Linked DNA regions of Struthio camelus. The protein of the gene in region 4 purifies or fractionates together with the protein of the main gene of each other region. This does not show direct contact. Links are inferred from orthologs where the notes say so. Each region holds a gene or a part of one and is shown on either strand. Other genes may lie near its edges. The genes, in order: DDB2, DCAF11, COPS8 and COPS7A.

Region 1 (7,097 bases), on a different chromosome or scaffold from region 4:
GCCACAGGTGGTACTTCTCTCGGATAGTTTACAACCTACCCAAATACAACAAAGCTACCTAACCCCCGCCAATGACTTGGAAACGTGCAGTGGGAGGGGGTGAGCTTATAGCAGAGGGAAGGTCAGACTTGTGACCAGCAGAACACCACCACCTGAAAATTCCCCAAGCGTAGTAACACAGGAGTTCCCATGCAGTTCCTGAAACGCCTGCTCGTGAATCAGAACATTCGATCTGCTTGTGCTGTAGCCCATACAGCCTGCCTACAGCACTGCGAGTTTGGTTTTTGATAATAGACTTGCTGACGCCTCATCGCCTGAAAACCTTTCTGTTCAGCGTGAGTTTTGCTGAGAGCACAGACTGCTTCGACATTTTGTTCGTGTTCCAAGTTTTATCTTCAGGGACCTTTGCATGAAAACAGGATCCGTTCAGTCCCATGTCTGTGATCTAATCGTTCCCACAGCAATGGTCCATAACACCCCAGGGGATCTAGATGTCAAATGGCAAGGAAGCATTTCTTAAGAAACAAAAATCCTATTTTCATGTCAGGATATTAATAATAAAATAGGACCAAAACACAGACATCATCCTTCATGACGAGACAGTAAAGGAAATCTTTCTTTAATGCAACACTGTAGCCTAGAGATGCAGTGGTGTGACACTAAACTTCTTTATTCACATGCCAGCATAGCAGGCATGTGTCACACCTGCTGAAATAGATATAAAAACATCTCCATTCAAATTCCTCGTTTTCACAGAAGAGTTAGCATCTTCAGTACTTTCTTCAAAGGTGATACTAGAGGGGTATTTTTTCAGATTCAGTTTTGTTAGGAAGGATAATTTGTTAAGAAGAGAAACTTTCGGACTTTTCTGAATCCAGGGGAAGAAATGTTTTTGATTGCAAGAAACTGAATCTCTCTTATGTTACTTGGGGAAAAAAATCATGTTTTCCAAAGTACATAAAAATCAAAATTGGGACACAGAACGGAAAAGCTCAAATGCAAAAGTTTTTGTCTTCTTGTTTTTAAGAAAGGTGTAAGGGAAAAATAAGCTTGGCCTCGTTTTCCCAAAGTACTAGCCACTTCCAATTCCCTCTGAATCTTATGGGAACTGCAAAACTCACCAAATCTGAAAATCAGGCCGTGAAGTTACAGTAAAAATCTTGTAGCTAAATTAACTAAAAAAGTGTTAATTATCCACCATCATAAGCAGAACTCCTTTTAAACAGAATATTTTATCTTCATTCACTATTCACACTGTCAACTGATCTGAAGGTTGGAGTTACACATCAGAGAATGTGAATGTACAAAATGGCAGAACTCCTGTATCTCCAAATATTAAAAAAAAAAACCCTACAGTAATTTCTGGATCTTAAAAACAAAACAAAAAAAAAGGCACAGAAAGTGTATACTATTTCCACACCAGGCAATAACTCTACTGGTCTCCTAAGCAAAACGTGGAATCAAAAAAATAATGCCCGTAGAAACATGAAAACAATCGTTAGTCTAACCGAAGTCTATACAACTCTCCTGACAATGCAAAGCATGAATCTTTCCAATATCTACGAACTCAACCAGCTCCGTCTCATCATAGCAAAAACGTTTAAGAGACGTTTTCCTAAATTACATACAAGAGAAAAAAAAAAAAAAGCAGATGTGGAGAAGTGATTAGTGGAATTCTGTCCAGTCTAATATAAATACCTAAATATAGAGGTAGAAAGGATGTAGCCTTCCTGCCTACTGTAGGTAAAGTCAGAATATGCAAAGAATATGCCAGTTTAGACTGTATGCTAAACTGTAGGATACCAAGCTTACGATTATGAAACTGCATTAAGAACTACATGACAAAAACAATACATTACAGGGATCGGTCTGTCCTACAATAAAGCAGACATCTGGTAAATCAGGAATTCCACAGAACTTAATCACCCTCCCGTGAGCTGCGACAGAGACTTCAGTGAGCAGGCGTCCAGCAAGGGTAGCAACTTTCAAAAATGAAACATGCATACACATGCACGCTCATTAGACAGATAACTGGAGACTGTAATACCCCACCACGCATCTGTGTATCACTTAATCCTTAATCCTTAATATAATCCAATCCAAACGCTCGTGTTTGAACAGGCTGCAGGCTTGCTGGCATCTTCCCTCTTCAGCTAGTCGATGCCTGTCATTTAGGGTAAATCTGCCTGGCAAAACCAGCAAGAACCTGAGGAAACGTTACCTATTTTCTCTGGGGGTTTGGACGTTTTTCTCACAAACAACCTCTTTGCTTGTGGCTCGTTCTCTATTTCTTCATAGTCTTGTTTCCTTTTCCCAGCTGATTTTGCCAGTTCTGCTAGCTGATGCTCATGTGTCCTCACATGCTTCTTGTCCTTGGGCTGGTTCTCCAGAGCCATTCTGTCTGACCACTGAAAGCGAACAAAGCGTGGAAGGTAAGGCTGCCATACGCTTTTTAGCCGGAAGACAGAGGAGAAAAGGGGACTGAAACACGTCCCAGCGGTCTGGACGCAGTGACTGTACCTGCGCCCTCCTCCATCCGCCTGGCGCTGCCCTCGCGTTGCGCTCTACCGGAGCAGGTTCAATAACCTCTTCCTTGCTCGCACGTGAAAACGAACGCACCCCAGGGCACCCGAGTTGTGTTCGGGCCACAAACGCCTCCGCGGAGCTTTTAAGCTTAAAACCCACAGACCTGCGTAAAGTACCGCTGGGACACCACGTAACGCCGTAGCTGGTTTCTCCGGGAGCTCACTGAGACCTCTTGGGGGGCAGCTAAGGGGAGAGACCGGAGCTTTTACGAAGACGACGCGGCCTGCAGCGCACCGCCCGCAGCAGCGCCCAGGCCGCCGCCCCCGCCGCCCGCCGCCCGCTCCTGCACCCACCCGCCGGCGCCAGGCCTCGCCCGGCCGCTGCCTCTCACCTGGGCTCCGGCGGCCTCGGCTCCCCCGGCCGGCGGCAGCGGGCACCTCCCCGGCCGTTTCATAAGCGGGGCGGGGAAGCGGGCTAGCGGCTCTTCCGCCTCCGCGGCGGCGGTAAGCCCGCAGGCCGCCGGCGCCCCCGCCATGGCGGCCCGGCCCGGCCCCTGGCGGCGGGCCCCGGCGCACAGCCGCCGCCCGGCTCCGCGCTCGGCCGCGCCGGGGCCAAAGGTGCTGTTACGTCTGCGGCGGCCGCCTGGCAGCTTATTATTATTTTGGGGGGCACAGGTCTTCTAGCCTTACATGCTTTTTTTTTCTTTTTAATTGTTATTTTTTTAAACAGAGCGCCGCTTTGGCCTATTGCAGCAGCCTGGCAGGGGCCTGTAGCAACCCCCCCCCCCAAAAAAAAAAAAAAAAAAGATACTGCTTCAAAATACAGCTTTCTCAAGAAGACATATCTGAGGGCTGAGTTGTGTTGGGACTCAACTGCAGAAAAAAAAAAAAGGTAGGCTCTTTAAAGGTAGGTAGAGAAGTCCCAGCAGCGTGGGTTACGCAGTAATTTCTAATGCGCGGCAAGGTGACTCGGGCACTGCTGGCTCTTGTGCAACGAAGCGCGCCAGGAAGGCGAACGGCGAGCCGCGAGGCGGCGGGAGCCCCGAGCGCCACCAGCGACGGCCGCCCCGGGGCCTCGGTGGGCGCCCCCGCCGCCGGGAGCGGGGGCACCCCCTGCTTCAGGTCCACCAGCAGCTATGCCGAGTGATTAAGGTCCGGTCATCCACACAGCTGCCGTTGAACCCAGGTCCTAAAATAGCTGTCACCACTCCTTGGGTTGTTGTTGGGTGGTTGTTTTTTTTTTTTTTGCTATCTTAGAAAATGCATAGAAAAATTACCAAAAGAAACAACAGGGACCCAAACCACACGCTGGACTTTTTTTGCTGAACTATAACAACACTGTATTAGTTCCTGGCACCCTAGGACTAAGTATCAGAATAACATAGAAAAAGTCATAACCCCTGACAGACAGCACTTAATGTCTTTGAGAACATATTAACACATTTGCTAATTAGGTTGACATGTTTTATCAAGCATTTTTATAATACATAACATTGTTCTGAGAACTTACCCATTAACAAGAAATACTGTTAGTAATAATTCAAAGTAGTACTTGCCTTCAGCCCTCAGAAGCCTTGAAGGCTTGATTTCTAAGAAGGGAAATAACATGGGAAAATATCCTTCTTCTCGTAACAGTGATTAGCAGTTTCGTCCACAGGTTTGCGGAAGTCATCGGAGGAGGAGGCACAATCTGTGGAGTTCATCAGGAATCACCAATAAATTTCAAATTAAACTATGTAATTCTTAACATCTGCTTTTCAGATACTTTAAAAGGGTACGTAGCTATGTTTGTAACTGGAAAAAACAGGCCTCGATCCCAGTCGTCTTCAAGTGGATTGAAAGACATCTACTGATTTCCATGATCTATGTACTGCTCCCAAAGTAAACGCTGATCCTGTTATCCAAGTTATTTCCAGCAAAGATGTGCACTTCCTATCCCCCTTCCATTCCTCTGCCTCCAGGGTGAGCTTCCTCGGGCAGAGAACATGCATAGTAACCTAGGGATTTCCCGCTTTGAGCTGTCAATCAGGGCTGTCCTTTTTTTAATCAATTACACCAAGTTTGCTTTCCCTCTAGAGAGTCGCCAGATAGTTTTGTAATTACTATTTACTACGGACAAGAAGAGCAGATAACATATGCAGATAAAAGAAACCCCACTGACCCAGGGTTCCAGAGATAAGTATCGCTGTGCTGGTACGGTACGAAGGACACGCTGCATGCTGAGCAGTCCAGAGAAAGAGTAATTGGAAAAATGTTCTTAAATGTATTTACAGTCTCACACTCTTCAGACCCGATAGTAGTAATGTATGCAGCAAAGTCAGGCAAGTATAATTACGGGTGGGCAGGATATGAGTCTTATTTTTACGATGCCTTTTGTCTGACCTATGATTTTAGTAAAGTTCTGCCTTGGTTATGCATGGCTCTCCAACAGAGAATACAGCAGTGTCGTTACCAGGTCTGGTAAAGCTATACTGCCATTAAGACCATCAACTTGATGGTGTATGTAATAGTATTAGGTATTTTGCCTCCTTGTTGCCAGGATCTTTTTCCAAAGCATGAATGGTTTTGGCTGCTTTAGCGTGACTACTCATGTAAAGAGTACCATCACAGCAACTTGAATTTGGCCTGCATGTGGAAGCGAGCCTGTGTTCTACTAAAAAGTAGGAAAAAACCTATAATCCTCAAGAGATACAAGAGAGAGTAAGTATCATGCTCTCCGACCTCCTTCTAGCCCATGACCTTAACTAAGCTGCCAGGTAATGGGAAAACAGACAAAAAAGTCACTGTTTTAATCACCTCATTTACCTGAGCAATCCATTTTCCCAAAGCTATTCCAGCCTTAGAGGAAAGGCGTGAAGCTGCCACGTCATGCAGGACCCATGCCATTTAATCAGTGTTGGTGAAAGGGTGCAGAGGGCCAGATCCCCAAATGGAAAGCATCTATTTTAGATGCTCTGTGCATGGCTATCAATATCAAAACCAGTATGAAAATCAGCATATGAAAACACAGGATAAATGCTGGATGTAGCATATTAATCTATGACAGATTTTTTTCCTTTTTCTGCTCTTCATTAATGTACATAAAATTGATGATGGAAAGGAAATCTCGAATTAGGGAGCATCTATGCCAAACACCGTTTTTTTTTTTCAGTCGAATATGAAGTTGGTGCTTATATTTTCAGCTATGATTAACTTTTAGGATAAGTTAAAGATCTCGCGTCACTTTTTGAAAGGATACTCATTGTAACACCAACTCAGGGACTTCTTGCGGGTGCCCATCTCCCCGGGAACTCCACGCGCATTAAAAGCGAGCAAAGGATCGGGGCCAAAGCAAATTAAGCAGAATGGTTTCTAACATCTGCTTTCCAACACAGGACTTCCTCGCACGGTAGCACTCCGAAGAAGCAGGAGCACGGATGTGTGGCACGCTCTTCCTTCTGTGAGGCGCTCCGTCTTCCCTTTCTCCACCGATTGAATAAACGTCATTGTGAACTCGCTCCTTGGCGCTGTGTCCCAAGTCGCTTGGAAGCAAAGTAGGGGCAAGGGGCCAGCCAGGCCTCGCAGCTCGCCTGGCGTAAGCCCTGCCCTAGCGTCATGGCAAATCACGCCCAAGGCCGGGGTTGGAAATGGAAACTCTGGCGCGCGAGCTCCCGGCGCTCGGAAGGAGCTGGTGTCACCCGAGGGGCTGCGGGGACTTAGAGGTGAGCTGTGGATGAGGCAGAAAATGTTTTTCAGAGGAAAAGAGAGCGAGCGACCGAGCCGGGCCGGCGCGGCGGAGGCTGGCCGGGAGGGCCGGGAGCAGGGCACCGGGCGAGAGCGGCGGCGGCGGCGGGCGCGCGGGGCCAGGCCCGACGCGCCAGGGGCTGCCAGCGAGGGGCTGCTGCGCGCCCCGCGGGTCGCCGCCCGGCTGCTGTCGCCCAGTCCCTAACAGCGGCACCAAAAAGCAGAAACGCCAACCTAGAAAACCCGGAGAAGAAGCCCCCCTGCGGCGGGGGCCCCGCTCCCCCGGCCCACAGCCCCTTAATTGGATCGGGAGCTCCGGGCGGGGGCGCCGCGCCGCGTCCCGAGTGCCCGGGCCGGGCCGGGCCCGCCCCGCCGGCAGCCGCTGGCGGCGGGAGGCGGGCCGGGAGCCCCCGTGTCCCGCGGCTGAAATAGGGGGAGGGCCCGGCCCGCTCCCAGCCCAGGTGGCCGCCCGCCCGCCGCCCTGCTCCGCTCCGCGCCGTGCCGCGCCGCGAGGTAGGTGTGAGGGTCGCCCCCGCCGCCGCTTCCCGACCTGCTCGCCGCGGGGGGCCGGGGCGGGGGCAGAGCCCGGTCCGGTCCCCGCCGCCGCCTCCTCCCGGTGGGAGGCGGTGGGGCAGCTCGGCGCGGCAAACCAGCTGGCGGCTTCAAGGGAAAAGTTTCCTCACGGAAAGGGGGCGGGTGGGGGAGGCGCTGCCCGGCCGGTCGTTGCCCGCGGGGAGCGGGGCGGCGGCGGCGGCGCGGACAGCGGCTGGTAGGAGCGGCGGGGCCGGGGCCGGGCCGGGAGGGCTCCGCGGTTCGCGGCAGGTCGCGGCGGCGGGCGCCGGGTCCCCC
Region 2 (7,660 bases), on a different chromosome or scaffold from region 4:
GTGACCCACGGCGCCGCCCCACGGCGGCCCGCCGGCCCCCCACGGCTCCGCCCCCCGGCCCCTCCCGCCCGTCGGCCGCCACCGCCAGCGAGAACGCGGCGAAGCGCCGCTCCTCCGGCCTGCGCCACGCGGCCCCCCGTGACCCACGGCGCCGCCCCACGGCGGCCCGCCGGCCCCCCACGGCTCCGCCCCCCGGCCCCTCCCGCCCGTCGGCCGCCACCGCCAGCGAGAACACGGCGAAGCGCCGCTCCTCCGGCCTGCGCCCCGCGGCCCCCCGTGACCCACGGCGCCGACCCACGGCGGCCCGCCGGCCCCCCACGGCTCCGCCCCCCGGCCCCTCCCGCCCGTCGGCCGCCACCGCCAGCGAGAACGCGGCGAAGCGCCGCTCCTCCGGCCTGCGCCCCGCGGCCCCCCGTGACCCACGGCGCCGCCCCACAGCGCCCGCCGTGCCGCCCCACAGCACCCCAGCTGCCCCATAGAGCCCCTAACCTGCCCCACAGACCCCCCAGCTGCCCCATAGAGCCCCTAACCTGCCCCACAGACCCCCCCAGCTGCCCCATAGAGCCCCTAACCTGCCCCACAGACCCCCTAACTGCCCCATAGAGCCCCTAACCTGCCCCACAGACCCCCTAACTGCCCCATAGAGCCCCTAACCTGCCCCACAGACCCCCCAGCTGCCCCATAGAGCCCCCAACCTGCCCCACAGACCCCCCAGCTGCCCCACAGAGCCCCCAACCTGCCCCACAGACCCCCTAGCTGCCCCATAGAGCCCCTAACCTGCCCCACAGACCCCCCAGCTGCCCCACAGAGCCCCCAACCTGCCCCACAGACCCCCTAGCTGCCCCATAGAGCCCCTAACCTGCCCCACAGACCCCCCAGCTGCCCCACAGAGCCCCCAACCTGCCCCACAGACCCCCTAGCTGCCCCATAGAGCCCCCAACCTGCCCCACAGACCCCCCAGCTGCCCCACAGAGCCCCCAACCTGCCCCACAGACCCCTAATGTGCCCTATAGAGCCCCTAACCTGCCCCATGCAGCCCCTAACCTGACCCATTGGCCCCCCCTATCCGCCCCATAGCGCCCCCCCAACCTGCCCCCAGCCCCACCTGAGATCCAGGGCGGTGTGGTTGTCCCCGTCCCCGTAGATGTCATACACGTGGACTGGGCGGGGTCACAGGCAGAGGGGGAGGGGCCACATCAGCCACACCCCCTGGGAGGAGGAGCCTCACAGGCCCCACTCCTGTTCCCCCCCCCCCACAGCTAGCCCTGCCGGGGGTGGGGGGGCTTCCCCCAGCCCCACCCCCTGGCTCAGGCCACACCCCCACAGCCTGGCCCCACCTCCCTTGGGATCAGGCCCCACCCCCTGAGCTCAGGCCCCGCCCCCCAAGCTCACTCCCTGCAGCCAGACTAGGACAGAAGAGAAGCTGGGTGCTGCTGAGGGACTCAGGCTCCACCCCATAGGCCAGACCCCGCCCCAAGCCACACCCCCTGACACTAAGCCACACCCCCAGGCTCAACCCCACCCCCCAGGCTCATATCCCACCCCCAACCCACTTGCTCGACTAGCAAGTACTGCATTAGGTCCTGGCAAGGGGTTCAAGCCCCACCCCCAGGCTTCAGGCCCCGCCCCCAGGCTTCAGGCCCCGCCCCCTGGCCCAAGCCCCGCCCCCCAAGCTCCCCCCCCCCACCCCGACTCACTGTAGTTGGACCAGCTGGAGTAGAGGCACTGGGTGGCGTCGGGGCTGAAGGCCACGTCCAGGATGCTCCAGCCCACGTCGCGGCCCCGCGCCGCCCGCAACAGCCGCAGCTCGTCGCCCCGGCACTCGTACAGCCGCAGCGTGTGGTCTGCGGCGGGGCACAGCCGTCAGCGCCTGTACAGACCCCCCCCCCCCGCCCCCTCCCGCGGGTCGCCGCCCCGCTCACCCTGGCAGGCGGACACGAACAGCTTGCCGTCGTCGGAGTAGACGCCGCAGAAGGCTTTCTGCGCGTAACACTCGGCGAAGCTCACGTGGTTGGGCAGGAAGCTGTAGCCGAGTGGGGGGGGGGGGGGCGTCAAGCGGAGCAAGGCCAACCGCCGCGCGTCCCCCCCCAACCGACCCCGTCACCCCGCGGTTACTCACTGCGAGCTGACGCGGGATTTCTCCCCGCAGGAGAAGCTGCCGTTGCGACACCGGCCCCATTCCCGCTGCGAGAGGCGAGAGGGCGCCGTGAGGGGCCCAGGCGTCCGGGCGCGACCCTCCTCCCCCCCCCTCCCGGCCCCCCCCCCCAGCTCCCTACCTGCCGCAGGAGCCGGGGGAAGCTCTGCTCCGTGGGCCCCGGCCCCACGCGCCCCTCGGCCAGCTGCAGCTGCGCCTTCAGCTCGTGGCCGTCCAGCGCCCGCGGGTCCGGGCCGGCGCCCGCTGCCAGCGCTCCGTTAACGGCGGCGGCGGGCGGGCGGGTGGGTGGGTGGGGGGAGACGCTGCCCCCCCTGCTCCCACCCCCCCCCCCACCGCCGCATGCCAAGGGGCCCAGGCGTCCGGCTTACCTGGCGGGACGTAGCGGTCGCCCGGGCGGCCCTCCCAAGCGCTCTCGGCGTCTTCCTCGTCTTCCTCCTCATCCTCCTCCTCGTCGTCGGAGAGGTCCCGCGCCGCCTGCGGGTCTTGCACCAGCCGCACCCGCCGGCTGTGCGACGGTGGGGGGGGGGACAGAGGGGGGGCGTTAGGGGACATTCGGGGACGAGCAGAGCCGCCCCCCTCGTCCTCCCCCCCCCCGCCCCCCGCGGCGCCCTGGGGGTCCCCCCCCTTCCCACAATCCCCTGGGGCCGCCCCCAATTCCCCCCCCCAGTCTCCCACAATGCCCTGGGACATTCCCCCCCTCACCCCCGTATCCCACGATGCCCCGGGGCACCCGCCGGGGGCGCCTACCTGCGCAGGAGGTAGGCCACCACTTGCACCAGGTCGATGTCTCCTTCCTCGTCCTCCTCCTCCTCCTCCTCCTCCTCGTTCTCCCGCTCCTCGGCGGGGGGGGGCGGCGGCGGCTGCCGGCCCCGGGGCCGCCGCGGCCCCCCCGCCTCCCGCCCGCCCCCCGCGCCGCCGCCGCCGCCGCTGCTGCTGTGCGAGCCCATCTGCGGCGTCCCGCCTGCGGGGCCCCCCGGTTACCCCGGCGACCGGGCTGACATCGGTTACCCCCGGCGACCGAACTGCCCCCCCGGTTACCCCGGCGACCGGGCTGACATCGGTTACCCCCGGCGACCGGACTGCCCCCCCGGTTACCCCGGCGACCGGGCTGACATCGGTTACCCCCGGCGACCGAACTGCCCCCTGGTTACCCCGGTGACCGGGCTGACATCGGTTACCCCCGGCGACTGAACTGCCCCCCAGTTACCCCGACGACCGGACTGACACCAGTTAACCCCAGCGACCAGGCTGCCCCCCAGTTACCCCAGCGACCAGGCTGCCCCCCAGTTACCCCGGCGACCGGACTGACACCAGTTACCCCGGTGACCGGGTGCCCCCCAGTTACCCCGGCGACCGGACTGACACCAGTTACCCCAGCGACCAGGCTGCCCCCCAGTTACCCCGGCGACCGGGTGCCCCCCAGTTACCCCGGCGACCGGACTGACACCAGTTACCCCAGCGACCAGGCTGCCCCCCAGTTACCCCGGTGACCGGGTGCCCCCCCCAGTTACCCTGGCGACCGGACTGACACCGGTTACCCCCAGCGACCGGGTTGTTCCCCTCCCCCCCCCCGTGACCACCCTGCCACTGCCTGACACCCCCACGACCCCCGGCAACCGGCCTACCCCCGGTCTCCCGCGGCGACCGGCTGACCCCGGTATCCCCCGGCAACGGGCCCGGGAGAGGGGCGGCCCCCCCCCCCCCAGTGTCACTCCCAGTATCGGCCAATCGGAGCCCCGGGGTCGCCCAGCTCAATGTGGGGGGGGGGGAGGCGCGAGGGGGGGGCACAGCGGTGCCCCGCTGCCAGCCAATCAGAGGGCGGGGACGGGGACAGCCAGCCAATGGGGACCCTCTGTGCCGTGAGGGGGGGGGGGACACGCATGCTCTACCCCCCCCCCCAAAAGGTGGGGACCCCGCCGGCGCCCCCAGCAACGGCCGCCCCGGGTTGGGGGGGGCCTGCTCCACCAATCAGGGCGCTCCCCCTCCCCGCCGGCAACCAATCAGGAGCCGCTCCGAGGCGCCCCCCCCCCCAACCGGCGGCGCCCCCCCCTCACCTGGTGGCCGCAGCAACTTGTTTACGCAGCCAGAGCGGAGGCTCCGGGGAGGGGCGGAGCCTAGGCGCTGCGCCCTGATTGGCTGCCACCACCCCCCCACGGGGGGGGGGAGCCCCCAGCCAGCTCATTGGCTGCCGTCCCCCCTCAACCCCGCCCCCCCCACAGCAGGCTCTGATTGGCCGGGAGCTGATAAGCGCCGCCTCCTGCCTCTCCCTCCCCCCCCCCCCGTTGCCTGGCGAGGCAGGTGCTGATTGGCTGGCAGGGCAGATGATTGACAGGGAGGGTGGGACGTGGAGGGGGAGGCGCTCTCCCCGATTGGCTGGAGAGCAGCTGGGGTGGGAGGAGCAAGCCTAACAATGCTCCCTGATAGGCTGGGGGGTGAGGGGGGTGGGACTAGCGTGACTGACAGCTCCCACAGAGCCTCAGTAGCTGCCGATTGGCCGCGGCGAGTTGGTCCTAGCTCCTCCCCCTCTGACCCTGCCCCATAGCTCCTCCCCCCTCTGACCGTTGACCCCCCCCCCAAGGACAACACAGACCTGGCTCCGCCCCCCTGAGGGCTCCTTTATTGGTCCCCACCCGCCCCAAAGGCACCTGGGAAAGGGCCGGGCGGCGGCAGGCTCCGGCCAATGGGGTGCGGCGACGTGGTGGGCCGACAGGGCGCGGCGATTGGTCAGGCGAGGGGCGGCGCCGGCCCAAGCCCCCCCAGGTGCCGCCCCCTCCCTTCTCCCCCCCCCCACCGGAGGCCGTCGGCCAATGGGCCGCGGGTCCACGGAGACGTCGGCCAATGGGGTCACAGTGGCATCAGTCAGCAGGCGACGGCGGCCGGTGGGCGGAGCCGTCGGGCAACAGGGCGGTCGGACGAAGGACGGTCAACCAAGATGGCGGCCAGCAGGTCATGGAGACCAAGCAACAAAGATGGTGGCCAAGGGGGCGCAGTGATTGGTCAACGAAGGTGGAAGCCAAGGGGGCGTGGCGATTGGTCAACAAAGATGGAGGCCAGCAGGTCATGGAGACCAAGCAACAAAGATGGTGGCCAACGCAAGGCGGTGATTGGTCAACGAAGGTGGAGGCCAACGGGATGCAGTGATTAGTCAACGAAGGTGGAGGCCAGCAGGTCATGGAGACCAAGCAATCAGGATGGTGGCCAAGGGGACAGGGCGATTGGTCAACGAAGGTGGAGGCCAATGGGATGCAGTGATTGGTCAACGAAGGTGGAGGCCAGGTCATGGAGCTCAAGCAACAGAAATGGTGGCCAAGGCAAGGCGGTGATTGGTCAACGAAGGTGGAGGCCAGCAGGTCATGGAGACCAAGCAACCAGGATGGTGGCCAAGGGGACGCAGTGATTGGTCAACGAAGGTGGAGGCCAACAGGTCATGGACACCGAGCAACAAAGATGGCGGCCAAGGGGACGCGGTGATTGCTCAAGATGATGGTGGCCAGCAGGTCCCGGACACTGAGCAACCAAGATGGCAGCTGAGGGGATGCAGTGATTGCTCAACGAAGACGGCACTCAAAACAATGCGCTGATTGGTCAATGAAGACGGTAGCTAAAGAGATGTCATGATTGGTCAACAAACATGGAGACCAGCAGGTCATGGAGACCGAGCAACAAAGATGGAGGCTGAACAGAGCATAGTAATTGGTCAACAAAGATGGTGGCCAGCAGGTCCCGGGGATCGAGCGACCAAGATGGAGGCCAAGGGGACATGGCGACTGGTCAATGAAGATGGCGGCCAGCAGGTCCCGGAGACTGAGCAACAAAGACGGAGACCGAGGGGGCGCGGTGATTGGTCAACGAAGACGGTGGCTGAGAGGACGTGCTGATCGGTCAACAAAGACGGCGACCATCACGTTCCAGAGACCGAGCAACCAAGATGGAGGGCAAACGGACGGGGCGATCGGTCAATGAAGAAGCTCGCCAGCAGGTCCCGGAGACCGAGCAACGAAGGCGGAGATTGAGGGGGACGCGGTGATTGGTCAGCGAAGACGGCGGCCAACGGCTCGCGAAGAGCCAGCAGCGAAGGCGTCGGCCAAGGGAGCACGAAGAAAGGTCCGCGAAGGCGCCGGCCAGCGTTCGGCGGCGGGCGGGCGGTCACATCTTCTTGAGGCGCTCCTCGAGGGCCTCCAGCTCGCCCAGCACCTCCTTGGGCAGGTCGGAGCCGAACTGCTCGTCGAAGTAGCGGCGCAGGTCGCGGGCCTCGCGCTCCCAGAAGGGCCGGTCCATGGGGAAGAGGTCGGCGTAGGTGACGCCGGGCAAGCCGGCCAGGTCGAGGGCGCCGGGTTGGGGCACCAGCCCCACGGGCGTGGGTCGGGCGCTGGGCTCGCCGTCCACCCGGCGGCACACCCAGGCCAGGACGCGGGCGTTGTGGCCGAAGCCCGGCCACACGAAGCGCCCGGCGCCGTCGCGCAGGAACCAGTTGACGTGGAAGATGCGGGGCAGGCGGGCGCCCGCCCGCTCGCCCACCGCCAGCCAGTGCGCCAGGTACTGGCCCGCGTTGTAGCCGAAGAAGGGCCGCATGGCGAAGGGGTCGTGCATCAGGCGCTTCCCTGGGTCGGGGGGGGGCGGGGCCGGTCAGCGGGGGGCGGGGCCTCGTGGTGGGGGCACTGGGGTCAGGGTTGGGGGGCACTGGGGGCACTGGGATCAGGGTTGGGGGGCACTGGGGATAGTGGGATCGGAGTTACGGGGTCGCTGTGGTCAGGGTTAGGGGGGTACTGGGAGCACTGGGGACAGGGTTCGGGGCACTGGGAACACTGGGGACATTGGGGTCAGTGTTATAGGAGCACTGGGGACAGAGCTGGGGGGCACTGGGAACACTGGGGACAGGGTTGGGGGGCACTGGGGATGTCAGAGTCAGGGTCATAGGGGCACCAAGACCTGTGGGGACAGGGATAGGGGGCACTGGGGATACTGGGGCCACTGGGGACAGGGAAAGGGAGCACTGGAGACACTGGGGACAGGGATAGGGGTTCACTGGGGACAGAGATGGGGGCTCACTGGAGACACTGGGGCCACTGGGGACAGAGATGGGGGGCACTGGGGCCACCGGGGATGGGGAAAGGGGCTCACTGGGGCCACTGGAGACACTGGGCCCAGGGATAGGGGCTCACTGGGGCCACCGGGGATGGGGAAAGGGGCTCACTGGGGCCACTGGAGACACTGGGCCCAGGGATAGGGGCTCACTGGGGCCACTGGGGACGGGGAAAGGGGCTCACTGGGGCCACTGGAGACACTGGGCCCAGGGATAGGGGCTCACTGGGGCCACTGGGGACGGGGAAAGGGGTTCCCTGGGGCCACTGGGCCCGGGGATAGGGGCTCACTGGGGCCACTGGGGACGGGGAAAGGGGCTCACTGGGGCCACTGGGGACGGGGAAAGGGGCTCACTGGGGCCACTGGGGACGGGGAAAGGGGCTCACTGGGGCCACTGGGGACGGGGAAAGGGGCTCACTGGGG
Region 3 (7,129 bases), on a different chromosome or scaffold from region 4:
AATAAAGATGCTAATTTAGATCATTTCAACAACCAGTGCCCCTCATGTTTAACACAGGAAGTTTAAAGTTACCCTGCAATACCTTTAAATACGAAACAGCAGCATGCAGTCGAAACAGCAGCATGCAGTCGTAGTCAAAACAAATACTGTCTTAAGAAGCTACAAAGCAAACCATAGAAGCATTCAATGCTTCCCACAAAAGCCAATTTCACTACTTAAATAACTTTCTTCCTGAAGTCTGTTTCCCTAGGCTTCGGAAAAAGTACGCAAGAGCAAATAAAGGAGGCTATTTTTCCTGACATAGGAAGGGAAGAGAAAGACTTACAGTTGATTCCTACCTAAGCTCATTTTTTACACAACACTGCCTACATGCATTTTGTTAGTCACACAGATTGACCTAGCATTGCCAGAATTCTAGCAATCAGCTTAAAAGGGACAAATTGTTCAGTATACAAAGCTAAATATTCATAAGAGCCACTTACATGTCATTATGTAACAAGTATAAAGCTAGAAGTTGGCCATAAACAAGGGGTGTTGCAATTCCTCCAGGGGCCTTAAAAGCAAGCACAAATAATTTGGTTACATGTTTTAAAAGCAAGACATCTTAAGAAATACATCAAGCAGCTGAATTTAATGAAAAATGAACATAAGACACTTGCTGTTTTCCACCTCAGATAACAGCTGTGGACAAACTGTCAGAGTTGTGACACTGCATTAACACATTTGTATCTCAAGATGAAGAGTACCTTGCACAAGCCACAGTTTTGCCTTAGAAAACTCTATTATGTTGTCTGCACGAGTAACATAAAACAGCATATTTCATTATACTAATGTTCTAGCTTATGCTCATGAAAGTGGTGACCATCTTATTCATCATGACCAGGTGCATCTAGGCTGTCTTCAGTGAACTTGACTTCAGTTCATCTCAGAGCACTCCACAAGAGTAAAGTTTCTTTCCACACTTGAATTGCCCTTCTTAAAAAGGGAGGCTGAGCTTTGACACTTGCCACACTTCAGCAGACCTCACCAATTGTACAAGTAGGAAAAAAGAGTTATAATAAAGTTATAAGATTTTGGAAGGCTATAATTATTAAAAAGCTGAAAAGATTTCCAACAAGCTTTTAGCAATTTATCAAAGGATAGTGCAGTAAGCATTCACAGGAAGCCAATTACGCAGCTATTGGATTTCATTATGTGTGTGACTTAGAGGCTCATCTAAGCCAAAAGCAGGTGATTAGCTGCGTCACTGAACAGATATCATCCCCAACTACTCTTCTCACCCTTTTTTCCTGGGCTTATCACCAACCTACAGCTACAACATTTTCAGCAAACACACCCTAGATTACTTCTGGTAAAAACAAACACAGGTCAATTAACATCACCTGTTTGAACTGTGCAAGTCTGGTGTTCCTCTGTAGCAAATTAAAGAAAAATCAGGTTTTTCTGCCAGAACACTAGTGCGAGCTGATGGAATCACAAACAGTCAGAATAATGCTTTCATCTACAGTCTTGCCAAAGGAAGCAGAAACAGAGCTAACTCAGCTCTAAGCAAAAGAAACAGTAAGGACGAGTGGTGCATCTGCTGTCATTTACTCTGGGTGGCTCTGCTGACAGACACAGCAGAAGCCTCGAGCATAGCACAGCCTAAGTTCAATTGCTTTATAACAGCTCCCAGGGACCCACCAAGGTCCAATAAGACACAGTTTGCAGTGAGGATGCCAGGGAGGGATGTCAAACTGTCTCAGACGGCTACAGAAGCAAAGCCAACAGCCTTCCAGACTCCATTCTCAGTACTCAGAGCTGAGTGTGCTGGGCTGATACAACTCTCCCTCTGCTCCACAGAGTCGAAAGAGGCACACAAAGCTATTTAAAAAATAAAAACCCTCCTCTACAGGATTCTGGGCACAAAAAGAAGCTACAGCATCACACTGGGATTATGAGTTGCACCTTGGGTCCAGCACAGAAATAAGAAATGGAGGCTGAAGTTCTTCCTCAACTAAAGCACCAGGAATACAGACCCGTAAGTAGTGACCTCCTCCATTTAGAGGTTATATTTAGTAGCACCAAATTGTTTGGTAACACCAGACTGCATAACTTCAAGTTCAGCTGTGGCAAGCAAACAGCGACTGGGCCACCTCCCTGCTTTCAATTGCTAGGCCAGCAAGATGCAAAATCAGTACCACTAAAGAGAAAAAGAGAAAAGAAAAAAGAAAACAGAAAAATTCTCATTTTCCCCTTCTTTCAGGTCTCTACCTTGGGAGGCACGGTATTCATTGATTTAAAAAAAAAAAAAAGCAGAAGCACTGAAAGCTCCCTCGACAGCAGCCTTAAGGATACGACCTAACAACAACTTCTGACAATTAACAGGGCAGCACTGGGACTTGTAACCTCTTCCCGCCGCGGCTCCGGGGGCCACTCCAACTTCACTCAGCGCCCACCACCCATAAACCCTCCAGCGAGGGCCACGTTAAAGCAGCATGGAGGCCACCCCCCGTGTAAGACATCCCCCCTGCCCACACACACACAACCCGAGGGGCGCTCCCAAGCCGGGCAGCGCCCACAGCCTCAGCGAGGCGCCCCGCCGGCCACGGAGCAGTGCGCATGCGCGGTGCCCTCACCAACCCCCCCCCCCCCAGCCGCCGCCATCGCCATGGTGCTCCCCGCGGCCCGGCCCCGCCGGTACCTCGAGCTCCTGCGTCTCGCACTGCTCCAGCAGTTTCTTGAAGCTGAAGGAGTTTTCTGCCATCACCGCTACGGGCATTTTTCCCCACCCCCTCGCCACGGCACCCCGCCGCCGCCGCCCGGCCCGAAAGCGCCGCCAGCCGAAACCGCCTCCTCTCAGGAGGCGGCCGCGCCTGGGCGTCACTTCCGTCCCGCCACCACACGCACTTCCGCCCTCGACGCGCGGCAGCCGCTCTAGCGCGCTAGCCGCTCTGTCTCTTATACCCTGGAGGACTTCCGGGCGGGGAGGGGGGTTCCGAGGCGGGCTCGGCGGGGCCGAAGCCTGGGGGCGGGGCCTCGGCAGCGGGGGCGGGGCCGCGCGCCTTACGAGGGTGCGGAGGGCGCGCGGGGGCTGCGGGGGGTCCCTGGGCCGCGGCCGCTTCGCGCGGCCGGTGCGAGCCGGGGGGCGCGGCGGAAACGCATGAGCGGCCCGGTGTGCACGGGCGTCCTGCTGGCGAGCTCCCAGTGTGCACGGGCGTCCTGCCAGTGGGCTCCCAGTGCACACGTACATCCTGCCAGTGAGCTCCCAGTGTGCACGGGCGTCCTGCCAGTGGGCTCCCAGTGCACACGTACATCCTGCCAGTGAGCTCCCAGTGTGCACGGGCGTCCTGCCAGTGGGCTCCCAGTGCACGCATGCATCCTACCAGCGAGCCCCCAGTGTGCACAGGCATATTTCCAGTGAGCCCCCAGTGCACACGTGCATCCTGCCAGTGAGCCTCCAGTGTGCACAGGCATCCTGCCAGTGGGCTCCCAGTGCACACATGCATCCTGCCAGTGAGCCTCCAGTGTGCACAGGCGTCCTGCCAGTGGGCTCCCAGTGCACACGTACATCCTGCCAGTGAGCTCCCAGTGTGCACGGGCGTCCTGCCAGTGGGCTCCCAGTGCACGCATGCATCCTACCAGCGAGCCCCCAGTGTGCACAGGCATATTTCCAGTGAGCCCCCAGTGCACACGTGCATCCTGCCAGTGAGCCTCCAGTGTGCACAGGCATCCTGCCAGTGGGCTCCCAGTGTGCACAGGCATATTTCCAGTGAGCTCCCAGTGTGCACAGGCATCCTGCCAGTGGGCTCCCAGTGCACACATGCATCCTGCCAGTGAGCCTCCAGTGTGCACAGGCGTCCTGCCAGTGAGCTCCCAATGCACGCATGCATCCTGCCAGTGAGCCAGTGTGCACAGGCATCCTGCCAGTGGGCTCCCAGTGCACACGTACATCCTGCCAGTGAGCTCCCAGTGTGCACGGGCGTCCTGCCAGTGGGCTCCCAGTGCACGCATGCATCCTGCCAGTGAGCCCCCAGTGTGCACAGGCATATTTCCAGTGAGCTCCCAGTGCACGCATGCATCCTGCCAGTGAGCCCCCAGTGTGCACAGGCGTCCTGCCAGTGGGCTCCCAGTGCACTCATGCATCCTACCAGTGAGCTCCCAGTGTGCACAGGCGTCCTGCCAGTGAGCTCCCAGTGCACGCATGCATCCTGCCAGCGAGCCCCCAGTGTGCACAGGCATATTTCCAGTGAGCCCCCAGTGCACACGTGCATCCTGCCAGTGAGCCCCCAGTGTGCACAGGTGTCCTGCCAGTGGGCTCCCAGTGCGCACAGGCATATTTCCAGTGAGCCCCCAGTGCACCCGTGCATCCTACCAGCGAGCCCCCAGTGTGCACAGGCATATTTCCAGTGGGCTCCCAGTGCACGCATGCATCCTGCCAGTGAGCTCCCAGTGTGCACAGGCACATTTCCAGTGAGCCCCCAGTGCACACGGGCATGCAAACAGGAAAAAAAAAATCCCGCAAGCGGAGCTGCGGCGAGCTCTCCGCGAGAGGGCACTGCCCGCCAGAGCAGCAGCCTGCCGGCGCCCAAGGGACAGGCCGAGGGGGGGTTTCACACGGTGCCTTCTCGGCTGCTCTCTCTTTTAGGGCGCTCGGGCATCTCGAGGGGAGTCAGGGGGGAGCCCAGGGAGGAGGCGGTGGCCTCCCAGTGCCGTCCAAGGGCGGCCAGTTGGCGGGACGCAACGCCTCGGGCCGGCGGCAGACGCGGGGACGGGTCTGGGGGACGGGCAGCGGCTCGGCCGGGTGGAAGGAAGGAGAGAAAGAGCAAGAAAGCGAGAGGAAAAGAAGGAAAGGAGAGATGTAGGGAAAGGGCGAGAAGGAGGAGGGGCGCCGTTGGGCTGCTCTACAAATATTGTGAAGGCCCTTTGCTGGCTCTTGTAGTTCAAAATGGCGAAACGGCGCGGTGACCCAGCTCCGCGCGCTCCCTGGGCCCCTGCGGGAGAGGCTCTCCTCCGGCGCTTGGGGCCTCCCCCCGCCCCAATTTGTTTTATCCTAGTTTATTAACTCAAGAGACGAAGCAGAGGGATCTGCTTTGGGCTTTCGCTGCAGCCCCTGGCAGTAGCGGAGGTCAGCTGCCAGGGCCGGCTCAACACGCCGGAAGCAATTTTTGTTCCCAAAGCCTGGAGATGCCTGGAGCCAGCACAGGACGAGTTCAGACCCTTGGTTGTAAGCCTTGCTTCTTGCGCGCGGGACAGAGCGAGGACGAGCCGTCCATAAATCCCCACCACCACCACCGCTCTTGAAGCTCACGTGCTTCCCTGCCCCTCTCTGGCTGGTCTCTCCAGACTGCCCTTTCCCCTCACCTCCAATGGCCCTGGTGGGACATCACCCAGCAGCAGAGACCCAGCAGTAACCAAGAGCGTCCTGGCCCTCACAAAGTCACGTCCAGGAGCCTCTCTTCAAGTGAAGCCTCAAAATAAGAGGCAGGAATCAGAAAAGAGCTGAGCTAGCTGGAAAATGTGCGCGGCTTAAATTAGTGGCGAAACTCTGATTTGAAAGACCCTGAATTTTGCCTTTGGCCCGTAGGATTTGAAAAAAAAAACACTTTAAGACTTGGCTGCCGGCTGTTGCAGAAGCGTAAGGTATTTTTAATGCGATTTTGTTTTTATTCCGTGCCTTAGGGCAGCGATGGTGTGAAGCCCCCAGAAATTCATCTGTGCCTCGTATGAATTTTAATGCAGCAGGAGAAATGGATTCCGGTTCTGCCGCACTGAGCAATCGTAACGCATGGTAGTTTTGTCTTCAAAGTAACATCCCAGCCGGCTCCAGGAAAGGCTAGCGGAGACGCTGGGACTGGGCTTCGTCTTCCCAGTTGTTTCCACGCGCTGCCTATGATCCGGAGCTATGCTCTGGAAAGGCGATTAGCAAAGCTTCCCCTTTTCTTATCTTCTTCAAACGCTTTTAAGGGGAACCAAAAAAAAAAATATCATTAAGGCGGACAAAAAGATCATTAGAGGGAAAATAAGATGTAACGGCAGCGATATGGAACAACAGGAAAGGTAATTTAATGCAGAAGTCAAAGAAAACGGTGGTAAGGGTCAAGTTGAAGTTCTCCACACCCTTCCTGATCGTCCGCGCGCCCCGATTTATATTCGCTGTGGCTGAGCTGAGGAGCAAATATCTCTTAAGTACATTGTTTCCTTCCATTACATCAAAGCATGCTTTTTCATTAGCCACCCTAATCAAAGTGGACAAACGTCTCGTTTTTTTTATTAGCCGTTGCATCGCAGGGCGGAAACAGCGAGAGGCCAAGGCGAACAGGCCGCAAGCAGAACCCAAAGGGGACAATTTCCTCCTTGGAAACTTTTTTTTAACCTGAGGGCTACGACAGCGAGGTTACAGGGCTGCAAGGAGCTTCCTCCCGCCATCACTGTTGTGATATTAAAGAGAAACCAAGAGGCAACCCAAAGAGCCTGGGTCTAGTTTGGGAAAGCACTGACGCCAGGATTTCTGGTGGCGGCGGGACGACACGCGTTTCGGGTCCAGCACTGGCGCGAGCGCCCCGCGGAGTCGGCGCCGCCTCTCTGAAGGTCTGGAGAAAATCAAAAAGAAATTATTCTTTTTGCTCCCAGCCGATGGGCAGCCAGGCAGGACACTCGGGAGACCGCGGCCCCTTTCTCCCGCCCTTTGCGCGAGGCAGCGGCGAAGGGGTCCGTGCCGGATGACGCGCTGAAGGTTGTCCGCGTAGCAGAGCATCCGGGCAGGGCTGCAGGTGTCTTGACCCGCCGTTGGGTCAAGAGCGATTGCTTCTGCCAGGAGCTCCGGAGGCAGAGATTGCCCTTTCCTAACCTGCGAGGGGGAAAAGAGACCCTGCGTGTATTTAACCTGAGCTGTTTTTATGACTTTCAGGGCACGTCTACACATTTTCCTCTTTTTGCCTCGTTCCAAGGCGATCCCAGGCTCCTAGGTCCGGCCGGTCTCGTTCTTGGCATATTTTAATCCTCCATGGCAAAGACCTTAAAAAGCGTGTTGGGGCAGGGAGGGTGGCCGTGCATTTTTACAAGTATTTTGCATCCCGGGACGTGCTGGAAAGCACGCCAGCCCTCAACAACGGGAGTCTCGACCGCTAGGAGAGACAAGGGCGTGAGC
Region 4 (8,084 bases):
ATCTGTATTTTTATTATTTTTATAGATATTTATAATATATTTATATATTTTTTTTTAAAAGAATCCCTTCAAAAACTACCCTCCCACCCAGCAAAACAAAGATAAAACAATCAAAGATGGCAGCTGCATCCTGGAGCAAAGCGTCCCAGGGGTCTCATAGAGCCAAAACGATTGCTGAGCACCACACACACTTTCCAAGCTTCTGTCATGCCCTACTGGTGCAAAGGTGACTGGCAGCTCTCTGGCTCTTTAAATTTATCTGTCGAAAGACAAGGAGAGAAGAAGAGAGAGAAACATATGGTCGTGGTGATGGGGGCTTGAGGGGTAAGGGAAACAGCAAGGCATACAGCTTAGAGGGTAAAATGCTATGATAGAGAAGAGGGATAGACTGGCTGGGAAGGAAGAAGCCAGGAAAGAGAACAAACATGCAGGAGAATTAGTTGGAGAGATGGATCTTGGAGATGAGTTCAGAAGCATCACACTTGGGACCCTTGCTACCCTCCTTCCCCCCCAAAATCTCTCCCTCTCACCCTCCCAGTTGTGAAGGAGGATCCAACTAGTTTGATTTAGACCAAATCTTCGCGCTGCCCCGGAGCCTGTGGAGAGAGAGAACATTTCAGAGTGGAGTACTAAGGCTCATCCCCGACTTCCTTTTCCAAATGCACACAAAGGGGCTTCTCGGCAGCAGCAGGACAGAACACAAGGAAGGCTTATGAACTCGGCTTCAGACCAAGAACTGCACGCATTTCCCTCCAAATTAGTAGGAGGCAGAGCTCAGTTGGGACTACATCTGTGACCATCCCATGTCCAGGGAGCAGAGCCCTGCAGTCAGTAACCTCATTGCTTTGAAACAGCAATTCCATCAGTTCACTTCCTCAATATACACAGACAGTGGCTACGTTCAGTTGCCACCACTCCTCACCCTTTGGCTTTGGAAGTTTTCTTGCTAGCCTGGCGCTGGTTGGTGCCAGGGGCTGGCTCCCTGAGCTCTGTTAGGTGCTGTTCCGGGTCTTGGGATGTGGCTGCTGCAGCAGCTGCTGTTGTCACTTTAATTGTCTTCTTCAGATTTGCCACCTGCCATATTGGAAACGCAAGAACCAAACAAACAGGTCAAACGAAAGAGCTAATGACTATCCAGATCTCTGTACTGTGGAGGAGCATTTAGCTGATTTAGAACTCTTCAGGCACAAACCCCTGGGGTCCTGGCCTAAGGGAAAGGCAATGCCTTACTTGAGCAAAAACAGTAACAACCACATGGTACTGTTTCCAGTCATTTTTAAAGTGAGTGGAACTGGCTGCTCCCTCCCTAGCCCACTCACCTCGCTCTCTATCTGCTGCTTAAGCGCCAGCTGTTGCTCTTTATGCTGGTTGGCTCGGCTAACCTGTTCTTCGATGCCCGACAAGACAACTTCACAGCCTTGGCACCTGTAGAGAAGACATAAGACTGAACGGGCCAGAAAGATTCGCATAGCACAGAAAGAAAAGTGAAAGACAACAGATTTCAACTCTAGAGGCCAATGAGACTGGAAGGTGATGACTAAACCAGGCAGGGAAGACACAGGAGGAGCAGTCCCATGTAATAACGTCGTGACACTATTACATGGCAGGGGGGGCAGGAGACAAATCACAAAGTGACGCTAGATTAGGAGCTATACAGATGTATACTCAGGAAGCCTCCTGCCAGGAACCACAACTGTGCAAAAGTTGCTGAGCTGTCATCACCCCTCCAGAAGCAAATAGGGGAAGTGAAAAATTATTTTCCATTGCCGTATGGGAAATGGGATTGAGTAGACCAACCTCAAAACACTACTCCCCTCAAAGAGGGGCAGAGAATCTGGGGAAGCCCCTGACAACTCCTTCAACCTTTTTAGGTGTTAGTATGGTGGGCTTCCTCCTCACCACTCCTGCAAGGTGCGGGTGATGGTGCTTAGCTCCTCCCTCCGGATGTCCCGCCCAATGCTGTAATCCACCTCCAGCCGCTGGTTCCGCTGGTCCAGGCTCCCGCGCAGCACATCCGCGTACACAGCCTCAATCACGAGGTCCTCCAGCTGCCGGACGTTCTTCAGCTGTAACTGTTCCAGCAGCACTGAATAGGGGATGCACTGTGGAAACAAGAAGGTAACTAGCATGAGCGAATCCCCACAGAAGAAGGACTGGGGGGAAAAACAGGGCTGTTACCTTGATCTTGGCAGCCAGAGTAACAACTGACAGGTGTCTCAGTTTGTTCTTCTGAGCCTCTGTCAAGGGAGGGAGGTTTGCTGCTTCAGCTATTCTCAAGGGAAAGAGGAGGGTATTAGACTTCACAAGTCCCAGTTTCCATCTCCCAGCACTGCCACAGAAGCATCTACACCATAACCCTTTCCTAAGCCTTCTAGATACCAGTGTCCCAAGCAACGCTTTGCCTTGACAAGCCACCACTGGTACCTCGCAGCTCAGAAGAGCTTTTCTGAGCCCTCTTTCCTAGTCAGTTCAGTGCCGTACATACAGAGGCCTCCACGCCTCCATGGGCACCTAGGCCCTCTCCGTGGCCCCCTAATAAAAAAAATCTTCCTCAAGATGTTCTTGGAGATTCGCCACATCGCGGGGGTGGGGGGGGGGGAGGGGGGGACGGCAGCATTAACGGATTAAACGCACAGCCGCACTCACCCAGGTAGTCCGCGTACGTCCCGTAGGCGAAGATGGTCAGCAGGCGCAACACGGGCGCGAACTCGCTGTCGGCCAGCTGCGGCCAAGAGCAGAGGGTCACCCCGCGCCACGGGCCGCCCCCGGCCCCTCACCCCCCACCCCGCCGGGCCGCCGGGCTCACCTCACGCACGGCCGGCATGTCCAGCAGCTCCCCGAACACGTAGATGCCCGGCGCCTCCAGCACCTGGTGGATGAGGCTGGCGAGGGCGGCGCCGCGGGCGGCCTTGGCCAGCAGCAGGAACTGCTCCTGGCTCTGCCCCGTCACCTTCCCCTCCGCCGCCATGGCGCTCCCGCCCGCCCGCGGCCCCCACGGCCCGGCCCGGCCCGGCCCCACCGCGCCGCAGCTCGGCCCCCCTCCCCCGCAGCTCCCCGCCCCGCGCCCTCTTCTCTATGGCAGCGACGTCGCAGAGCGGCCGCTTCCGGGCTGCTGGCACCGCCCGGCCTCGCCGCGCCGCGACACGCCCCCGCCCGCGACTGGCGGAGGCAGCGGCCAGTCCCGCCTCTACCGCTTTCCCATTGGCCAGCCTGAGGGGCGTGCGGCGGGGCCGGCACGGTGCGAGGGCGCCCCCCGCAGGGCGCGGTGGGGGCGCGGCGCCCCGCGCCCGACCGCGGTCCGCCCCGGCCCGGCCCCGGCCCCGGCCCCGGCCCCGGCATGGAAAGCTTCGCAACGCCCCCTCAGTTATCTCCTCACGGGCAAACGAGTTAGTTTAAGAGGCTCGGCAGGCCTCGCTGCGGGGGTTGGCCCTCTGCGAGGCGAAAGAAACGTTTTGGGTGGGGGTGATTGGGCTGGAAAGAGAGGGTCATTTTGTATAATCTTGATAGGTCTTGTCTTGTGCATCAATCGTGCGGTGGGCTGAGAGGAGTTGTCAGGGGGGCTGAGGGAGCAGAGGAGTCGGGAAACATTCATTTCCAGCCCCATACTGACTTTCCCACAGCTGGTTTCTTCCAGATTTCAGGGACATCTTGAGACGGAAGCAAAGGTGGCAACAGGCCGACAGGAGCAGCCGTCCAGCCGACGTGGTCTCAGGCAGCATGTTTTTACTATGTTCAAACTTGAGGCAGTCGGGCCAGGTTTGCACTCCAACACATGCTTGCGAGTAAGAGGTCTTCGGCACATATCAAAGACAGTGGAGTGGTCCGGTGCCAGACTTCTATACTATACGCATAACGTCTTGAAATCTTCACCTAGGTAACGTCTAAGTCTGTAAAGGCCTTACTTTCCTTCTCATTACTTGCTTTGATTCTGCTGCTTCTCCTGCAGCTGCTGTGGCTGGGTTTTGGAGAAGCCTCCTTTGGGGCACTGTGCTCCAAAACGCAGCCCGTGGCTGCTGCGAGGGCTCACGCTATCAGGTCTCGCAGCGAAGGTGCAGCCTGAGTAACGGGAGGGTTACTCCAAGCTCGTGTCTACAGCCATACGTGTTGTCCCGAGCCATATTCAGGGGGTTCAGCCTCTGAGGTGTGTTCAGTGTTTGGTCTCGGTGCTGAGGCTACTGCTGGAAGAAGAGAGCAGAGTGCCCACCGGCTAGCAAGCAGGCAGTGTCAGAGGTTGCCCTGCCCCAGATCCTCAGTGAACAGGGCCATAAGGAGCATTTCCTGTGCTCCGCCTGGGATAATGCGACTGAGATGCAGTGTCACTGCTCTGGGAGAAGATGAAGATCACAGTAGTCCAGTGAATCAGGGAAAGGCCACAGATGTGTATTCTCAGAGCTCACGAGGTCCTGGTTTCTCCATACAGCAGGATTACAGAGGAAGCAGGGCCTCTAAGGTAGGGTCGGAGCTGTGAAGGCAGGTTACAGGGCAGTATTAATAAGAGGTCTGTCTCCTTCATTCTTTTACACCTCTGTTTCTGTATTTAGGCCTAATTCACCCTGGCCTTACACCTGATGCCTTCATTTACACCAGCGCAGGGAGCATACAAATCAGGTTAAAATGTAACCGCGTTGACTTGTAGTGTTTTATTACTCTCTTCCCCACCCCCTTGCCAGCTTCTTCCATCTCAGTTTTATCTCTCTATCGATCTGTTTCCCTCACATTCTCTGACACGCTTGCTGCCTTTCATTATTAGTCAGATAAAGCTGGGCAGCCTGAGCATCCTCGCGGCACGATTCTGCCTCTGTCCTCCTCCTTCACTCTGACCCCCTAGGTCTGGTGTGCTGGATTAGATTGGTCCCCACGGTTGTTCTGCTCCCTCCTTGTCCTGCCTGTATTAACAAAGGCAAAGAAAAGAAGGTCTTGTGAATGAACCACATGCTGAGCTCTCCAGAGGAGAAGACCCTCCTCTTCTTAAAGTGTACAAACTCTCGCTAGAAGGCATTCACAACTTGCCCATAACTTGGCAAAGTCTTTGCCTCCTCCCTAGATCAGGGAATCAGGCACTGAGATTAAATTCCGAACTCCTGGAGTTGTTAACTCCCCTGCTATCATCTTGTTAACTGAGCAAACTCCTCTCTTTATGGCTACAGAGGAACTGTGAAATGTGATCTTTGTGTAATCTCAAGAGTCAAAAGTAAGAGGCAAAGAATGCAGATGAAAATATATATGGCTTTACAACATTTCATTACTTTTAAAGTAAATCTTATCATACTGGGAGGTTATGTGTTATTACTTCTGAGTGTTCAGGGTTGCTGATCGTCTCTGTAACCACCTCTAGCATCATCCCTCTCTTCTCTTGATCTTACTTTGATCTTCACAGAATGAACCCACCGTCCTCTCTCCCTGCCGTAGAACCACCTTCTTTCCCTGCGTCCTTACTGTCCCACTTTAAAGCCTGTAGAGTTATACTGTATCATTACAACTTGCTTATGTCTTTACTACTGCAGAATCTGAAGATCTTGTCCAAATGCTGAGGATATTTTTTCCCAGTTCTTCTCCAAACTAAGCCCAGGTCACATCTTCACAGATGTTTTTTTCACAGCTGTGCATAAGCACGACAAACTCTGAGCCAAAAACTTTTTGAGGACAAAGGAAGGTGGGGTGAACCTCTTGGATAGCAACATGATCCAGAAAGTTTTGAGCCCTATAACCCATACTTGGTTACTGCGCACAGGGACATAAGACTTGTATCTAATTATACCTAAGGTAGCCCGGTAGTAGTCGCTTACAGAGGAATTTAAGAAGAGGGTGACTGCGTGGTAACTTTTCCTCCCACATGCTCTCACAGCCTTCAGGAATTTGCAGATCAGGAATGATCTTCCAGACAGGCCTCCAGTCATGATTCAAAGACTTCAGGAGACAGAGGATATTTCACTTCACTTGGTAGTTTGTTTTTGTGATTAATCACCCTCCAGCGACTAGCTCTTGTTATTCTCTGCCAGCATACCTGGTAGACTTTTCCCTAGGAAGGAAGTGATACTGTAATCAAGTCATGTCTCTTTCTGCTTTTTGATAAATTAAACAGATTGACCTCTTCAAACTACTAAGATCACCAGCCGTCAGATCATTTTTGATTCAATGTTAATTTTAAAATATGGACCACAGAGTAGCGTGCAGTTTTCCAGGGTGGGACTCACTCATGTCGCAGGGAGAGGTGTAATCATCTCCTTACGTCTCCTCCTTAGTCCAGCATTTGCATGCCAAGGATCACATCAGATCCGTTGCTGCAGCCTGGCACACCAGGCCTGTGTTGATTTTTCTGCCTGTTATGATCCCTAAATCTTTTTCTGAACACCTCTTTTCAGGACTGAAAGTTCTCTGTAGATATGGAATTTTTTTCCTGTTCATAGCTGTGCGATTTGCTCTTGACTATCTTAAAAGAAGTTTTATGTGAATGACCACCTTACTGAGAGCAGTCGGTCATTCTATGCTGTTTCTAGCCTCATTATTTTTAACACTCTAAAAATATTTGTGTCATCAGTGAATTGTATTAGAGTGAACTTTACATCTGCTCCCTAAACACTGAAGAAAATGGTGAATCATGCCTGACCCAGGCAGGACTCATTCCTGCAGAAGCACATAAGAGACACTGCTGCTCAATGGTGGGCTTCCAGGGACAAGCCCTTTTGCATTTTTAGGTAGTTAAATGCACTGAACCAGCTCACTTAATCTCCTGATTTGTTAACATTGCATAACGCTATTTTTTTCACCAGAATGCTTTGGGGTATTAATGCTTCCAAAAGCCTGGATAGATCTAAGTCGTCACCTTTTCCAAACAGACCTGTAGTCACATCAAAGCCTAACAAGAACAAAACAAGTTTATGCAGCAAGATCAGTTTCTTACAAAATCATGCTGATTGGCGTTGACTGAAGAATCTCATATCAGCTCCTCTGTTGCTTTGCCTGGAAATTTTTAGGTCTTCTGTTTGCTCTTCACAAATATAGGCAGAGCATAGCTAATTTCCAGTCTTCTGGGATGTCTCTGGTTTTCCAAAGCTTATTAACCGGTTGCTTGGTGAGCAATGGGACCAAGGAAACTGGGTTCTCTATGCACTTGTTTCCTATATTTTCTATACTTCCCACTACCATATGCCAGCTTCAGCCAGGGTCTCTTTAAGACACCCTTTCTGTCAGCTGCTGCCTGCTTCCCCAAGTGCTTCCAGTCCACCCCCTCCCCACCACTACCTTCCATTTCTTGTCAAAACCCTTATGTTCCCCCCATAATCTACTCAGCTAACCCCCCCACAACTCTTAGCCCTTTCCCCTTTGCTTATGGCCTATGTCATTGGGCTCTTCCTCCCCCACTCTCTGACATAGACATCTTTCTCTGTATTTTCCCCTTAATTTATTTTTGCCTGCTGGCTGGACTGCTTTGACATGTGGATTTTTGCCCAGCAGCATGGCTAAGGGCTTTCAGCACAGCCACCAACAGTGTCTCTTTCTTCTATCAGGCTGCCGGTTTTCATACCACTTACTGGAACTTACTTACTTTTTAGACTCTATTTCTTTTGTGGAATTTGGCTGAAACGAGCCCAGGGGTTCCACAGCAGGGCAACTGACAGACAAACAGATGGACAGACAAACTTCTCCAGGTAGCAGGGCAACCACACGAGCCTCACGACCCTTAGGAAGCAGTGCTAGAAAGCAGTGGATCAGAGATCTCCCCAGCCACTCAACCTTAAGACTCTGGAATAAACGATCTGTACATGATGATTTTAAAGTGATTATGCCTAGCAGAAATAAGAGCCTCATGTGCTTCCCAGGTATGACGGGGCAGAAAGATGTTTCATTGTCCTCACATGACATACGTTGATCCTGCTCCAGATCCTGGTCAAATACACAACAGAAATAATTTCTGCATTTTTGTCTTCTTTCCATCACTATATCACCTTCACTTTAACACCTTCAGAATAACACTTTATATCACTCTTGTATCCTCTTCCCCGAACTACCCCAATGCCCCTCCTTCAGCCACTGCGTTGGGCCAGCTAACACCATCTCTTCAATCAAATTTCCCTGTACTTTCA

What was found.
Region 1: the proteins of COPS7A (region 4) and DDB2 purify together in Homo sapiens (affinity purification with mass spectrometry; 5 studies listed by BioGRID and IntAct, counting the BioPlex papers as one, with this or other methods). This does not show direct contact. The link is inferred for Struthio camelus from reciprocal best matches to the Homo sapiens genes COPS7A and DDB2.
Region 2: the proteins of COPS7A (region 4) and DCAF11 purify together in Homo sapiens (affinity purification with mass spectrometry; 3 studies listed by BioGRID and IntAct, counting the BioPlex papers as one, with this or other methods). This does not show direct contact. The link is inferred for Struthio camelus from reciprocal best matches to the Homo sapiens genes COPS7A and DCAF11.
Region 3: the proteins of COPS7A (region 4) and COPS8 purify together in Homo sapiens (affinity purification with mass spectrometry; 11 studies listed by BioGRID and IntAct, counting the BioPlex papers as one, with this or other methods). This does not show direct contact. The link is inferred for Struthio camelus from reciprocal best matches to the Homo sapiens genes COPS7A and COPS8.

The regions. Positions count from the first base shown.
Region 1 is NC_090946.1:39,425,673-39,432,769, forward strand, and holds the start of DDB2 (DNA damage-binding protein 2), read right to left. Parts: upstream 3,083-7,097; 5' UTR 3,062-3,082; coding exon 2,918-3,061; intron 2,770-2,917; coding exon of another isoform or gene 2,690-2,769; exon of another isoform or gene 2,521-2,689; intron 2,409-2,520; coding exon 2,222-2,408; intron 1-2,221.
Region 2 is NC_090970.1:262,783-270,442, forward strand, and holds the start of DCAF11 (DDB1- and CUL4-associated factor 11), read right to left. Parts: upstream 3,117-7,660; 5' UTR 3,103-3,116; coding exon 2,903-3,102; intron 2,661-2,902; coding exon 2,524-2,660; intron 2,399-2,523; coding exon 2,277-2,398; intron 2,185-2,276; coding exon 2,120-2,184; intron 2,024-2,119; coding exon 1,923-2,023; intron 1,845-1,922; coding exon 1,698-1,844; intron 1,161-1,697; coding exon 1,106-1,160; intron 1-1,105. Other genes in the region: PCK2 (phosphoenolpyruvate carboxykinase [GTP], mitochondrial), read right to left, coding at 6,302-6,756. UniProt on the Homo sapiens protein: May function as a substrate receptor for CUL4-DDB1 E3 ubiquitin-protein ligase complex.
Region 3 is NC_090947.1:4,259,235-4,266,363, reverse strand, and holds the start of COPS8 (COP9 signalosome complex subunit 8), read right to left. Parts: upstream 3,015-7,129; 5' UTR 2,762-3,014; coding exon 2,684-2,761; intron 554-2,683; coding exon 483-553; intron 1-482. UniProt on the Homo sapiens protein: Component of the COP9 signalosome complex (CSN), a complex involved in various cellular and developmental processes.
Region 4 is NC_090942.1:90,745,101-90,753,184, forward strand, and holds the start of COPS7A (COP9 signalosome complex subunit 7a), read right to left. Parts: upstream 3,022-8,084; 5' UTR 2,969-3,021; coding exon 2,807-2,968; intron 2,723-2,806; coding exon 2,647-2,722; intron 2,268-2,646; coding exon 2,179-2,267; intron 2,103-2,178; coding exon 1,900-2,102; intron 1,426-1,899; coding exon 1,320-1,425; intron 1,075-1,319; coding exon 923-1,074; intron 597-922; coding exon 557-596; 3' UTR 531-556; intron 260-530; 3' UTR 1-259.